3 linked regions of the Oreochromis niloticus genome follow. The protein of the gene in region 3 binds, or shares a complex with, the protein of the main gene of each other region. Links are inferred from orthologs where the notes say so. Each region holds a gene or a part of one and is shown on either strand. Other genes may lie near its edges. The genes, in order: lamtor4, lamtor3 and flcn.

Region 1 (4,445 bases), on a different chromosome or scaffold from region 3:
GGAGATTCAAAAATGTGGTTTCAGTGGTAGTGAAGGGCATGTTTGTATCCTGTCCTGTCGGGCAGCTTTTGCAATCAGAATTATGATGTGATGGCTCGCTGGTGTCCAACACATTTTGCTTTTGCAAAAATAACTCTATAGAATCTAATAGACTCCTCCTTCATGTGAATCTTTTATTTATCCATTTGTGTTTGTGTTATTTCAGGTATTACATTATATATGGAATAGTATGACGTGCCTGAGTGAGTGTGAGAATACCGGTGTCTTTGTCACAAATGTATAATGAGGGTGGGAAACTGCAGCGATGCCCAGAGGCAGACAGATGGAACCAGGACAACCGCACCATCCGCAGCCCCCAAGTGTACCAAAGACCTGAGGCCACACATCTCGGTGACATCTGCGCACCCATCCCAGCAGGAGAAGGAGGGAGGCCCCAGATGGGGTGACAGCCCAAGAGGACCAGAGGCAGTGGGCAGTCGACCCTGCTAGAGGCTGACCACCCTGGTAAGAGTTGAGAGGATGGCCCCAGGCGCCCAGGACCACCCGGCCCCCAGCCAAACCGAGCCACCAAGGGAGCGGGCCAATGACCACGACTAGAACATTCAGCCACGTTTCCGCGAAAGCAGAACATATGTTACTGTATGAGGACTTTATGGCAGACTTTGTGTGTTTACATTTTTGTACACGAAGGTGTTGAAAGGGTGCAAAATTGGAGGAGGGCACAAAGGTTAAATCATGTTTTCAGGTTTTTAGGGTCTGCTCACAGCAGGTCCTACAGGTGGGATCCTCCGCATTCACACCTTCACAGTTCCACTCGATCAGACCAAAGGTTTCATGTTCAAAAACTTTTATTTCACACAAACTTTAAACATCAAAAACATCATCGTCATGGCAACTCTGTACTCCAGCTGAGCTCCTACACACTGATTGGCTCTTGCTGGTTGTGCTGACGTTTGACCACAAAGACCTTCTGACCAGAGACCGTCACTGTGTACACAAAGTCGTCCAGGATCACTGCAGACACACACACACACACACACACACACACACAGGTTAGTCCACCTGAAGTCACAGGGTTCCACCTGAGCTTTGTATGCCATCATGCAACATGAACAACGTGCTCATCAAATACATGAAAATGTTGCCGATGATGCGCCAGGTTTGAATCATGTGACAGTGATGACATCATTAACAGGTCTGAGAAAAACAAAGCAAAACACCCGAGTCATGTTTGTTTTTACTGTAGCTGATGAAGTGAGAGTGCAGGTGTGTTTGTGATACCTGACATGCGTTTGAAGGGTGGATCAGCTGATCCTGATAACCTGAAGCGACTCGCTGTTCGAACCATCTGCATCATGACACCTGCTGTGTGCTCGTCATTCTCCAGCTCACCTGCAGACTGATCAGTAATCAATAATCAATCACTTTGATCCTCTTCTGATCAATAGACTTAACTCGACTCTTTAATCTATTTTAATAATCTGATGATCCTTATTTCACCCTGTTTATAGCACTTTAATAATCCAGAATAATCTGACCAAAGACCAGAGTTCAGCTCGCAGTATCAAATGTGAATTCATTTTAACCTGTAGGAATGTTAAATGAGCTTAAATCTAAATGGAGTCTGGTCTCTGTGTGACCAAACTAGCCTGAGCACCAGCGTCCATGCAGAAATCCCCTTATTTAACAATGAGTGCGGTTAAATAAAGACCAAACTGCATTCATAAAGAACTTCTTTGTGAACTGAACATCTGAAAGCTCAGAGAGACTCACGGCCAGGACACCGTCCTCACTGATGACCAGGTACCCGAGCTGGTCCGGGATCCGCTCCAGACCCGCAGTGAGCGCCGCTGTGGCCTGAAAAGAGGACGACATCATCAGGATAACATCATGAAGCTAAAAGGAAGTGATGTTTGATGACTCATTGGTTCACTGATAAATGAAAATCAGCAGGGCAAGAAGCGCGTTTCCTCAGGTCGAAGCTTCAGAGACTCGCTAAACAGCCTTAGATCATTTGTCCAGTAACAATTCTGGATCTTCATCAGGTACGACCTGTGGTCCTCAGGAGCCAATGGGGTTACCCCTTTAAAGATGGTTTCTTGGTTACCATGGTTACATTCGTCCTGCATACATGACACACACTCCCTGTTTCACAGGAACACAGGTTAGACCCCAGGGCGCAGGTAAACCCGCTTTGAATGTCACTCCCCCTCCTCTCTGTTTGTACCACTCCCTTCCTGCAGAGGGGCGCTGTTGCTGTCCCACAGGTATTTGCATTGAGCCCGATTATCAGTGATTATAACTCTGAAGAGAGCCCCAAGCTTCACCCTTGGAGCGCTCTGGGTTTCATTTTTTGAAGGGAAGCATTTCCGCGTGTTTATCCTCCTTGTTCACAGAGAGGCTAACAGGAAGCTAACAGCGTTAGTGAACGGCACACAGCGGACAGTCCGAGATCCGTGAACGCCTCACCGAGGCACTGAACGCTGAATTAAAAACAAAACAAAAAAACCCCATAAACAACCCCCCCAAAAACGAGAATCAAAGTAAAACTTTAAACTCACCATCTTCGTCTTCTTCTGCTTCTACAGCCCGCAGCTGCGCATTTCCGTCTTTATCACAGAGCCTCACGTGACTGCTGAGGCCTTCATGTCCTGTCGGACAAAAGAGCCAGACACAGACACTCACGCACAGTGCGGGACTGACGATCTGTGCTTGTCCCGATTATCAAAGCAAATACGAATAAACGTTTGTGACATTTTAGGAATGTTTGGATTAATACCGAGGACGTTGCTGTCTAAACATGACCTCATTGTTGCCATTCCGATAAAGATGAAAATAAAATAAAACACACACACAAAGGAAGTTTGATCAAATAAATGAGTGATCGTTTATAGTTTGTTAATTTCTATAGGGGGCGCTATATTGAAGCGGAAGTGCGGGTCAGCTGATCCCTCACATGACCTGTCCCGTGAAGCTGAGTGTTTCTCTCCGGGAATCTCACCTGCATCTCCGTGATGGCCGGCCGCGGGAAACTGATCGCCGTGATCGGAGACGAGGACACGTGCACGGGCTTCTTGCTCGGCGGGATCGGAGAACTGAACAAGAACCGGAAACCGAACTTCCTGGTGGTGGAGAAGGAGACAAGCATCACCGAGATCGAGGAGACTTTCAAGTAAGATGGACTCCACACGCACACACACACACACACACACACACACACACCAAAATGTGTTAAAAAATCAGCCCATTTAACGCTCATTTCACGTGTTTCTGTCAGTGTCAACTGACCGAAGGTGTCGGTGGTCCTCGTGGGTCAAAAGTCAGATCGGTTTTATAATAATTCGGACAGCACCAGCCTGGAACCGTATTAACCCCTCGATGACTTCAAAAACACTGGCTGTAGGACAGGAGGCCGGCTGCGTTTTTGATGAAAATGCGAATGGACTCTGGTGTATTTGGGCCCAGTCTGTAACTACATCCAGCATCCTGAGTTTTCAGCCCTTAGATGATCGTCTGATAGAGTGTAATGGATTGATCAGCCGATCAATATATTAATCCAGCTCTCAGTTAATCTTCATGAAATGAACTTAACCTGTTAAACGCCGTAAAATTAGAAAAGACTTCAGTCTGTTCCTGTTTCTGTGGATGCCTAAACCTGACTTCAAAAATCAGTGTATCTTAAAAGTTATTCAGTCTTTCTGACTTCATTAAAACTACACATAAAAAATCGCGATCTTTGTAAATGTAGCATGTTAGCTCTCACACCGGACTCTATTGAAGAACCAGAGCTTTTTATTAAATCTGTGTGTATGAAATCAGCATTTGCAATGAGGGATATAATATTAGCACAAATTTAAATACTTTACAATAATTATGATATTTTATAATATATAATCTTTTATGATCGCTTAACACATTTTTTTCCTTTTGCTTAATTGTTGACTTGCATTTATAAGTTAGTTTCAGAGAAGTTGGTCTGGTGCTTTGGGGTTGTATTCCTGAAATTTAACTTAATGGCCTCATGTGCTGTGTGACACACACCAGACTCCATTCAAAAATCAGCTGATTTAAATGATCACTGTTGAGTTTGGAAATGTTTTTGATATCTTGAAACAGACCAGCTCTTACAGTGATGATCAGGAATCCCTGTGTTCTCTGCTGTCATTGAACTCATCTGTTAATATCCTTTACATCTAAGCCACCATTAGAGACTGGTGATGTTAAATTGACAATAATTTGAATGGTGTCTGACTTCCTGTGTTAAGCTCAGCAGTAACAAACAGACCAGAGAGAAATGTTAGTCCTCTGAGACTCTCAGAAACACCACGCCTTCATTTACTTCCTGTTACACCTCCGCTGGTTCTTCTGGGGTTCTGAGGATGTTAAATTGTGACTGGACTTTGGCGTGGCAGACTAACGGGGCTATTCTTTTTCTTTTCCTCTGC
Region 2 (4,757 bases), on a different chromosome or scaffold from region 3:
TTACATGCCAACCCAGCGTTTTCCTTCATCACCACGAAGGAAAACAGTCTGTGGTCGTCCGAGTTTGGTGATTTTTGTGTCACAGGTCTACGTGCTTTATACAGGGACTTCCACAGCCTTTTCAACAGCGCTGCGGACCGCGGGGGGGGGGGGCAGTGTTTTGGAAATGACAGTCTTCATTACAAAGCTTTCTTCGTTATGAATTAGCATACATGTTTTTATTGAACATTTAAAGAACTAGCAAAAAAACCAGAAACTGTTGTAGAGGACATAAAGTCAGAGATAGAAACGACAAGGAGCAGGTGCATCTAGTACAGGTAGCGCTGCTGCAAAAACCCACAGAGCTCAGCAGCCAGCGCAACAAATTCTGGATCCTTTGCTTTTAGTTAGCAGTTAGCATTAGCAGCACATCCTGCGTCCGATGTGAAAGGACCTTTATGCTGCGCACTGTGACTCACAGCAATGGTCCCGGGTCAGCCCTGACTTTGTGTTAAACTAATCCTAAAGTAATAATGGTATTTCTAACCACTGACATACCACAACTTTATCCTTTCAACAGCTGCTGAAAGTAAGGGGACCTAGCTGCTATCGGATATTTATATAGAGATCCTCCAGCTTCAAACTGTATTACCCTTCAAGGACCTGCAGTTCAAAAAAGTGCCCCTCCGACAGCCAAACCCATCTGTTCTCTGATTGGATTGTTACATTTGTGATTGACATGACACTGACCAATCAGATGACAGGAAGAAAAATAGGGTCAAAATTCGTACTTGTAACTTGCAGGGTTTTTTTTGGCTAAGTCCACACACAAATCTTTTTTACACATACAAATCTTTTTTACGCACGCACAAATTCTTTTTACACATACAAATCCTGATTTACAAGTACAAAATATTTATGACCACATTTGAGCCCATAGAACCAGTTCTCGATTCCAAGCACGAACACTAACACACAAATTTTACAGGAATCCACGGCTTTCCATATATGAGCAAAAATCACACCACCACTTTCTGAACCAGCCAGGCTTCAGGCGTCGTCAGTGACATCACTCACTCTTAAGGAAACAAGCCTCGATTCACGTTTCATAAAATACTTCCTGGATATTTCGACACACACTCCGAAGCCTTGGCACAGTGCATCCCATCACTCTCTAAAGGTACTTCCTATCGTCTATTCCTAACCTCTTTTCGCTGACCTAGATGAAAATGTAATTTAGATCATGTAAGAATGGGGAGGGGCAAATTTAGGTTCAGAGTTTTAGGGGTGCTCAGCTCCCCATCATAAACAAAAGCGAGTCGTTTATTTTGGCTGGTAGACATGAACATAAAATTTGAGCAAAGGCAAAACAAGGAGCGACAGCTAAACTGAAACCTAAACTGGGAAAAACTAAAAAACTATGAAAACTGTGACAAGACTGTAGAACTATGAATCAACTATGACGACTGTGAATACTGTGACGAGACGTGGAGGGAAACAGACGACCTGACAATGAACAAAGGAAGACCGAGGACTTAAATACACACAGGAGGTGATCAGAGGAAGTGAAAACACACAGGGAAACAGCTGACTAGACAGGGGAAGTGAAACACAATGACAAAGACACACAAGACTCTTTCAAAATAAACCAGGAAACACTGAGAAAATAACACTAACCAAAGAAGAAAACTAAAACACGCAAAACACTGGGTCACAGACACAGTACCGTGACAAAAGCACCATTTTTCATTAAAGACAGTGGAAAATCGCACTGCCACGCCATACACATGAAGCAGTCTGGTCAGAGAACTGCTTTTACATACAGACCCTCCCTTTATTGTGCAGAGAGAATACTAGAAGGAGAGAGGCAGTCTCAGTTTCTTTATGGGAACAGGTAAAAGGGTGATGCCTTACCTGTTCCCAAAACTGTAGGCTGACGCACCTGTTTTATTTATTTTTTTAATTCTTGAAAGAGTAGTAGTCAAGCAGTTCACTGATCATTTGCATAGGAACAGTTTCAAGGGTTTCAGTCAGGATGTGGAGTGCATGATAGCACAGAAACAGCACTAGTGAATTGTCTTCTTATGGCCTCTGACAGTTAACTCATCCCTGTGCCTGTTCTGCTAGACTCAGCATCTGCTAGATGCTCAGTGCAACATTCATTACTATTGAGCACAGTATTTTACTGCAGAGATACAAACTGTTGGTATTAAAGTAACTGCAACAAAGTGGTTTTAATCACAGCTTCACACAGTTAGAGAGTTCCATCAGGTCACTCTGAAAGGTGCTTGAGAAGCCTTTGGCTGCAGCAGAGAGAATTCAAAATCTTGAATAATTATGCCCCACTGTGTCTTAAAGACCTCATACCTCATTATCCTAACTTTGCTTTCAGACTGCAGGGTTCCTTATGATTCTTAGATTTTTTAAAAGTTGAATGGAAAACATAGCCTTTAGCTTTGAGGCGCTACTTTTAGGTCCCAGCTTCAATTAGGGAGGCAGATGCTCTCTCTACTTATAAAATTAGGCTTAAGGTTCCCATTTTTGATAAAGTGTATCAGCTGGATCAGGTGACCCTGTACCACCCCTTAGTTATGCTGCAAAAGACTGGGGAGCTTCCCGTGATGGACTGAGCATTTCTTTTTTATTCATCTCTTTTCAATCTCTTTGTGTTTATACACCACTGGTGCATTTAATAATTAGCGATTATTTCTCTCTTACATGGTTTGCCTTTGATTCTGTCTCTCTTTACTCTCTTCTTTCCCTTTTTCCCTTTACTGGTTGTAGAGAATGGCTGCTCCTCCCTTAGCCTGAGGTTTCTTATTGTTAAAAGGGAGTTTTTCCTTTACACTGTCACTAAGTGTTTGCTCACAGGACAAGTTTAACTATTCATTGTTTACTTATCTGTACTTACCAGGGTACCACCCTATATTCTCCCATCTAAGAAACAAATAATTATACTTGTGGAAAGTCCCTCTCTGGGATGATTACTCACCTGCAGTTCATCTACCTGGGTTGGAGGATTTCATGTTTTGCAGACAACGGAGCAATGTGTGCAAGAAGAATGCAAAAAAGTATCAAATGTAACGAGGTGTTTAGTTGGAAGCGAATGGGCATAGATAGAAATTTGTATACACCGGGTCAATCAGATCAGTATTTGATCAGGGATGTCAAACTCCAGTCCTCAAGGGCCAGTGTCCTGAAACTTTTCCATGTGAATAAAATTAGTAGGTCATTTGCAAGACTCTATAGAACTCCACTGCATGCTGAGGTGGCAACCCCTAATCCTACTGAAGTAAATTAAAGTGAAGTAAAGTCTAAAAGTACGTTTATTGCACCATGTTCATTCACTTATGAGCTGCTGTAACATGAATCAAATGGCTGACTGCAGTCTTCCTAATGACCTACTTATATTATTCAGGTGTGTTGCAGCAGGGACACATGGAAAAGTTTCAGGACACTGGCCCTTGAGGACTGGAGTTTGATACCTGTGATCTCGGGTATGGTTCAGCAACAGTTGTACAAGTTAAACTGTATTCAATAAGAGCCTCTAAGACGTTGCACACTGTGTTTAAATCAACCCCAGCAACAGTATTAGAGATACAGATGAAGGAAATGCCACTAGAAATCAAAAGAGAACTATTATCACTGGGAACTGGGTAAATTTACAGGGCCACAATCAAGATACACTGTTTAAGATGATCTAGTTCACATTTGGCCAGTTTAGTATGACCACTTAATGTTACATGGATGTCTCATAGGAGCTGGAGAAAACCCTTGCAAGCACAGGGAGAACCTGCCAGGGTTTAAGCCAGAAAATCTTTTGCTCTCAGGTGACAGTGCAAAGCACAGAAACAATGTACCACCCTTATCAGCAAATTATGGGATAAAAGGAAAAGAACATTTAGATTTGGCTGTAAAAGAAGCCAAAGAAAGAATTTCAGTTGATCTAATTACCAACGGCAGCTGGATAAAATAAAGAGCATAATAAGACCAAAACTGGGGAAACGTAGAAAAGCAACTAGGGAAAGAAAAGAAAGGAATGATGGAGGGAAGACATATTCATATAATGAATACATATTCATATATTCATCTGTTGGTGTTTTTCTCTGTGCAGTTTACATCAAATACGAAAAACACCAATAGAGAATAGGCAACCGATCCAAGCTCAGTAAAGTGAAAGGTGATCAATGTACTACAAAAAGAGAAGAAAGTGATTTTTGAGCACCTTTCAGGTCTATACCAGTGGGTGGCGCTAATGCGACACTTTGTAGTTTGCCAGCCACTAAAATCAAGAAGAAGAAGTAATCACGTGATTATGTTTTTTTAATCTCCCTTTCCAGATACTGAGGGTTATGTTTTTGTTTTAAAGTCGTTCAAAGGTTTGTCATTTCGTTTGAGATTTTAATGTGTATTTCCGATTTGCCTGCCTGGTTATTTTTATCATGTGTTTGTAGGTTAATAAGGAGATATTAACTGACGCATTTATATTATCGCTGTATTATCTGGGAAACAGCTCATGTGGTTGTGTGGTTTATTTGACATAAAAGAATGTGAAGTTCCGACGACGTACTCAGTCCTCTGTGTGAACAACTATCATTACAGTCATCTCCCTGCAGTCGTCGAGCGGTCTCGATACCTCGATAGCTGCCATGGCCGATGTAAGTATGAGATGTTTGTCATTCTTCTTGAGTTCCCGTCTCCAAAATGGAGAAGCAGGAAAAAGCGTATTGCTGATATTTCCTATAAAAAAGGGACACGTGAAGTACTGTTCGAGATTA
Region 3 (4,757 bases):
CATTGAGTATTATCATATGACAAGTGGCAATGACTCAACTCAGAGGACTCAAATGTCAGCCAAGTATGATGTACATGATGAGGTTGCCTTTACACCCAAATAACACACATCCTGCAATACTATTTAGAGACAGGATGAATGAACGTGACTCATGACACAAATACTTTAATTATTAGCTGTGATTTATTTCTTAGAAAGGGAGATGGTTGTCTGGATCAGCCACAAATTTTGGTAGTTTTTTAACTCTCTCTCAAATTGAATGCCTATAAGTAAATGTCTAAGGATGAAAATTAAACATTACAACTTTGAAATTCTTTAGTATACATAAAGTTAATCCACAGATTAGTCTGCTGAGTTCCGAGTGGGAGCAGAAGCGGGCAGATCAGAGTCAGTCATTTCCTCAAATCCTGAAACATTTCCAGCAAAGCAGAGTGCCCCAGCAGGACGTGAAAAATGTAGGAAACAGTTCATTACAGTACTGGACTCCATCCTTCAGCCCCCCTTCTGATGATAAGAGGCTCCGGCCACGCGATTACAAAACTAAGACCTGGCCAGAACTCCTATTGCCCAGAGTAACACAGACTCACACCACAGACTCAACAATATGATTTATAAGTGGATTACTAGGAAAATAATAAGCTGGTGTAATCATATGAGTCAACCAGCAGGGTTTTACTGTGCATGTCTAATAACAAGATGTGCCTCAAATCACCTTAGAAGCTTTCACAGACTGACTTTAGATTACATATTGTAAGTGTGTGAAACTGATTTACCTCCTTTGGCTTTTGGGGTGTCTTTGCCGCTCTGAGAGTCAGCGGGGACCCCTGCCTGTGGACTCGGTGTGTCAGTCGGGTCGGTGGGGGGAACTCCTGATCCACCTGAAGCCATCCTAAGATCTGAGATTTAGAAGTCAAAAAGATCTGCCGTGTCACTGTGTGTAAGTTATCTCTTTGTTGACCACTTAAGAGTGACACACCTATAAAAAACGTTCATGTTTTAATGCGGAAGTGACGGATTAACGTTGTACAGTGTTAAAAGAGAAGCTAATAAACCAGCTAGTCTGCTAAGATAGTATATTTAAACCATATATACGCTTAGAAATCAACCGGAACATACCTTTTAGTACACAAACCTTCAATGAAAACAGTTCCGACTTTTTTTTTATTCCCCTTTAACCCCTTGTTTGTTATACCAGATTGGGTTATGGGTAATGTAGTTCCACTTTTTCGTTTGCCGAGGAATGCGTCGTTTGTCGTACATAAAGCCTGATATTGGCACACAAAAAAGTTGAAAAACTATTAAATATGTTCGCGTGCTTTCACGTCGCTGGTAAAGTATTAAAGATGTTTTTGATTCGACGGTTAAAACGGAGAAAAATGAGCAGCAGTTGGCAGCCACGCGTCATTTGTGCCCGAGCGCGTGACTCTGCATCATGTGACGAGGTCTGTTTTTGTTGCCTGCTGGCAGCTACACAGAGGACAACAAAAAAGTGTAGAAAGCCTCAGTTAAGATGTTAGGAACGATGGTTTTTTAAAATACGGGCTCGATGAAGATTTGATTTTGTTTCACGGCGCTGTTATTTTTTTTTTTTTAACGGCACGGCTTTTTGAACACTACGTCCAATGAATTCCTCTTTGTGAAGTGTCACCAGTCATTTGTTGAACTTGGTTCTGCACCGAAGGTAAGACAGTCTCATACTGCCAGCTGTACCCGTATTTTAACCCCAGTGTAATCTGGTAACGTCAGTGATTAACCAGAACTAGATGTGGGTGTCATGACTGTGGGTGTTCAGATCTAAATCAGACATCTTTAGAACAGTAAACATATGAAAACTTGTTTTGTTCTTTCAGATGAATGCTCTGGTGGCTCTCTGTCACTTCTGTGAGCTCCATGGCCCTCGGACCCTGTTCTGCACTGAGGCACTACACCCGCCTTCCCCATCCCCTTCATCCCAGGCAGGTGCCCAAGTGCCAGGGGACCGAGATGGTGACCGTGATGGTGAAGGTCTAACCATGAAGGCCAACAGCTCAGCCACACAGAAAGAAATGTGTGAGGTGAGTAGAAGGGGCCTGACTGCGACCTTATCAGATACTTGGATCCCTCGCTTTATTTGTTTCTTCATTAATTTTCAGCCTTAAAGTACTAATTTCCTTTTTTCTTTGTCTCATAGGGTTGCCGATCCTTGCCTGCATCTCACCCGGGCTTTGTTAGCATTGATGATGAAACAGGCATCCGCTTCCTCAGCCACCAGCACCCCAGACAGCCCCAGCTTTTCAGCGTGGTCCGACAGGCTTGTGTACGCAGTCTCAGCTGTGAGGTAATTAGTGACATGTTTACGTGGGTGTTGTCTGTGGGCTTTAATCGGCTGATTACTGATATACTTCTTTATGTTTTCTGTTTGTTTTGGTGTCAGGTCTGTCCCGGACGTGAAGGGCCCATTTTTTTTGGAGATGAGCAACATGGATTTGTGTTCTCACACACCTTCTTTATCAAAGACAGTCTCGCTAGAGGCTTCCAGCGTTGGTACAGTATTGTTATGGTAGCCATGGACAGAATCTACCTTATAAACTCCTGGCCTTTCCTGCTGCGTCACCTCAAGCTTACTATACAGAGTCTGCAGAGCACAGCTCTAAAGGTAGAGCACGTATATAAACATAATAAACTCAGCAGACTTATTTATTAGTGCTTCTGATGTCTTTGGACCATCCTTTCCATTAGGTGTTTGACAATGAACAGGGAGTTTGTCCGCAGCGAGCTGTGAGGATGAACAGTGCATTTTCACCTGCAGTTTTTCCACACCAAAGGAGCGGCAATGCAGCCCGTTCGCTGACTTCTCTCACCCAGCATCCTAACCTGTGGGCCAGCCTGCACTCCTCCTTTAGCTGGTGAGTCATTAGGTTCAAAGAAACTGTTCTTCTTTTTCCAGTCAGTCTCTCACCCGGCTAATGAGTGGTCTCACCTCACTTCCAGGTTACTTAAAGCTTGTGGTAGCCGTCTGACGGAGAAGCTCCTGGAAGGAGCCCCCACCGAGGACACTCTGGTGCTCATAGAGAGACAAACAGGTAGATGTATTGACCTCGATTAAGAGGCGTGATATTTATGTATATACAGTTGTGGTCAGAAGTTTGCTCATCATGAACATGACTCTCATAGTAATTTTGGGCTTTAAATGATTTGGTTGAACTGTTATTTTTCCAGGGTGGAATGACTGTAAAGCATACATCTTTAATGACTTTAAAAAACAAGAACTGAATGTGCAAAATTGAATTTATTTGGGATTTTCTCTAATCCACACAGTGTCAAAAATAAACATACAAACTAAAATATATATATATACGCTCCCTCTAATATTTGGTTTAATGTTCCTTAGGAAGTTGCACCTTAATTGTTCAGTAAGTATCTGGCCTATTTTGAGGGCTGGGTAGTTCACCCATCTTCTTGGCAGAGTTCATTTAGATTTGTTGGTTCATTGAACCAGCTCAGCTTATAAGCATAGTCCACATATTTTCTGAGTGAGGTCAGGGCTTAGGGAAGGTCATTTCAGATGCTTAATGTTTTTTTTCCAGCCTGCTTTATCCCTTCCAAAACCAGGTTTGATGTGTTTAGGATCATTATCCTGTGGGAATACCAACTGCGTGGTCATTATCCCATCCACTTTGTACAACATATTATTTGACTGTCAGTCAAAAGGTCTTCGAGCACAATGCTTGACAATTCAAGGCAGACTTGAGCCTTGATGCTTCCTGGCTCAAGTCTTCCAGCATCAACTGACGGTGACAGTTTGGGCCTTCTTACAGAACCTGGTAAAGTGGTGACATATCTGAATAATTTGTTCTTGCATACAACGGTTTTAACTGATAACCTTGGAATCTGTGTATTTTCTGATCTGTTTGTTAGAATGGATCCAAGAGACCGTCCCAGCTAGTGTAAATCTGCAGTTCTTCTTCTTAGATATTCCCTGAGTTCCTTTGACTTTCTCATTGTTCTAAGTATTGGTTAATCCACCGAGTGCTGTCAAACAAATCTGTTTATGCTGGCAACGAGAGAAAGTTAATAGGCCTTGGCAAGTAAAGACTTTGGCTATAAAATGATTAGGTTCTACAAACTGGTACACCCAATTCTTATTTTTTAAAGTCATTAAAGATGTTGGCTGTGCAATTATTCTACACTGGAACATGAACCGTGTTCCAGGGTAGAAAGATAATCTAACCAGCAAATTCTTGTGGTTTTCTGAGTGAATTACAAGTCCCACTGGTGGGGCTTGGAGGTCCCACAGGTGGGGCTCAGACAACCAGATGAAAAATATGAAATTGCTGAAGTTTTTAAAACAAAATTCAACGTGCATCTTTTTTTTCTTGTTGATGACTGGTTTAAAAAAAATGTGCAGTGTCACCTTGACTCAGCTTCTGAAGTGTGTGTGAAAAAGTTTAAAAACCACTTCTTTTAGATGTGGTTAGGTTCATTTTCTTCTTAAATTAACCTAAACTCATGACAGCATGTCATTAGTTTGAACAACATGCTTATGGTTTTTATCATCTGACTGAAAAACCTCTGGTGAAAGTGTGAATCACCAGACGAGTCTGTGGAGAGACGCCAGAAAAACAGTGATTCACTAAAGCATCCCAACTTTCCAGAGAGTTCACACAATTCCAGTCAGTATTCAGTAATATCATTTACAAAAAAAACAACCCCAGTATTTACAGGGAAACTTTCTCTGACAGTATTATCTCTGGAATTTTAAATCCTATTCTGGCTCA

The links.
Region 1: flcn (region 3) and lamtor4 share a complex: the UniProt entries of both Homo sapiens proteins name them as parts of the lysosomal folliculin complex. The link is inferred for Oreochromis niloticus from reciprocal best matches to the Homo sapiens genes FLCN and LAMTOR4.
Region 2: flcn (region 3) and lamtor3 share a complex: the UniProt entries of both Homo sapiens proteins name them as parts of the lysosomal folliculin complex. The link is inferred for Oreochromis niloticus from reciprocal best matches to the Homo sapiens genes FLCN and LAMTOR3.

The regions. Positions count from the first base shown.
Region 1 is NC_031981.2:23,195,252-23,199,696, forward strand, and holds lamtor4 (ragulator complex protein LAMTOR4), read right to left. Parts: upstream 2,671-4,445; 5' UTR 2,565-2,670; coding exon 2,562-2,564; intron 1,858-2,561; coding exon 1,774-1,857; intron 1,400-1,773; coding exon 1,282-1,399; intron 1,015-1,281; coding exon 917-1,014; 3' UTR 831-916; downstream 1-830. Other genes in the region: atp6v1f (V-type proton ATPase subunit F), read left to right, coding at 3,015-3,172. UniProt on the Homo sapiens protein: As part of the Ragulator complex it is involved in amino acid sensing and activation of mTORC1, a signaling complex promoting cell growth in response to growth factors, energy levels, and amino acids.
Region 2 is NC_031983.2:3,098,760-3,103,516, forward strand, and holds the start of lamtor3 (ragulator complex protein LAMTOR3), read left to right. Parts: upstream 1-1,077; 5' UTR 1,078-1,159; intron 1,160-4,225; exon of another isoform or gene 4,226-4,358; intron 4,359-4,581; 5' UTR 4,582-4,628; coding exon 4,629-4,637; intron 4,638-4,757. UniProt on the Homo sapiens protein: As part of the Ragulator complex it is involved in amino acid sensing and activation of mTORC1, a signaling complex promoting cell growth in response to growth factors, energy levels, and amino acids.
Region 3 is NC_031976.2:22,273,143-22,277,899, reverse strand, and holds the start of flcn (folliculin), read left to right. Parts: upstream 1-1,439; 5' UTR 1,440-1,681; intron 1,682-1,850; coding exon 1,851-2,054; intron 2,055-2,170; coding exon 2,171-2,635; intron 2,636-2,718; coding exon 2,719-2,885; intron 2,886-2,970; coding exon 2,971-3,062; intron 3,063-4,757. Other genes in the region: leng9 (leukocyte receptor cluster member 9), read right to left, coding at 774-888. UniProt on the Homo sapiens protein: Multi-functional protein, involved in both the cellular response to amino acid availability and in the regulation of glycolysis.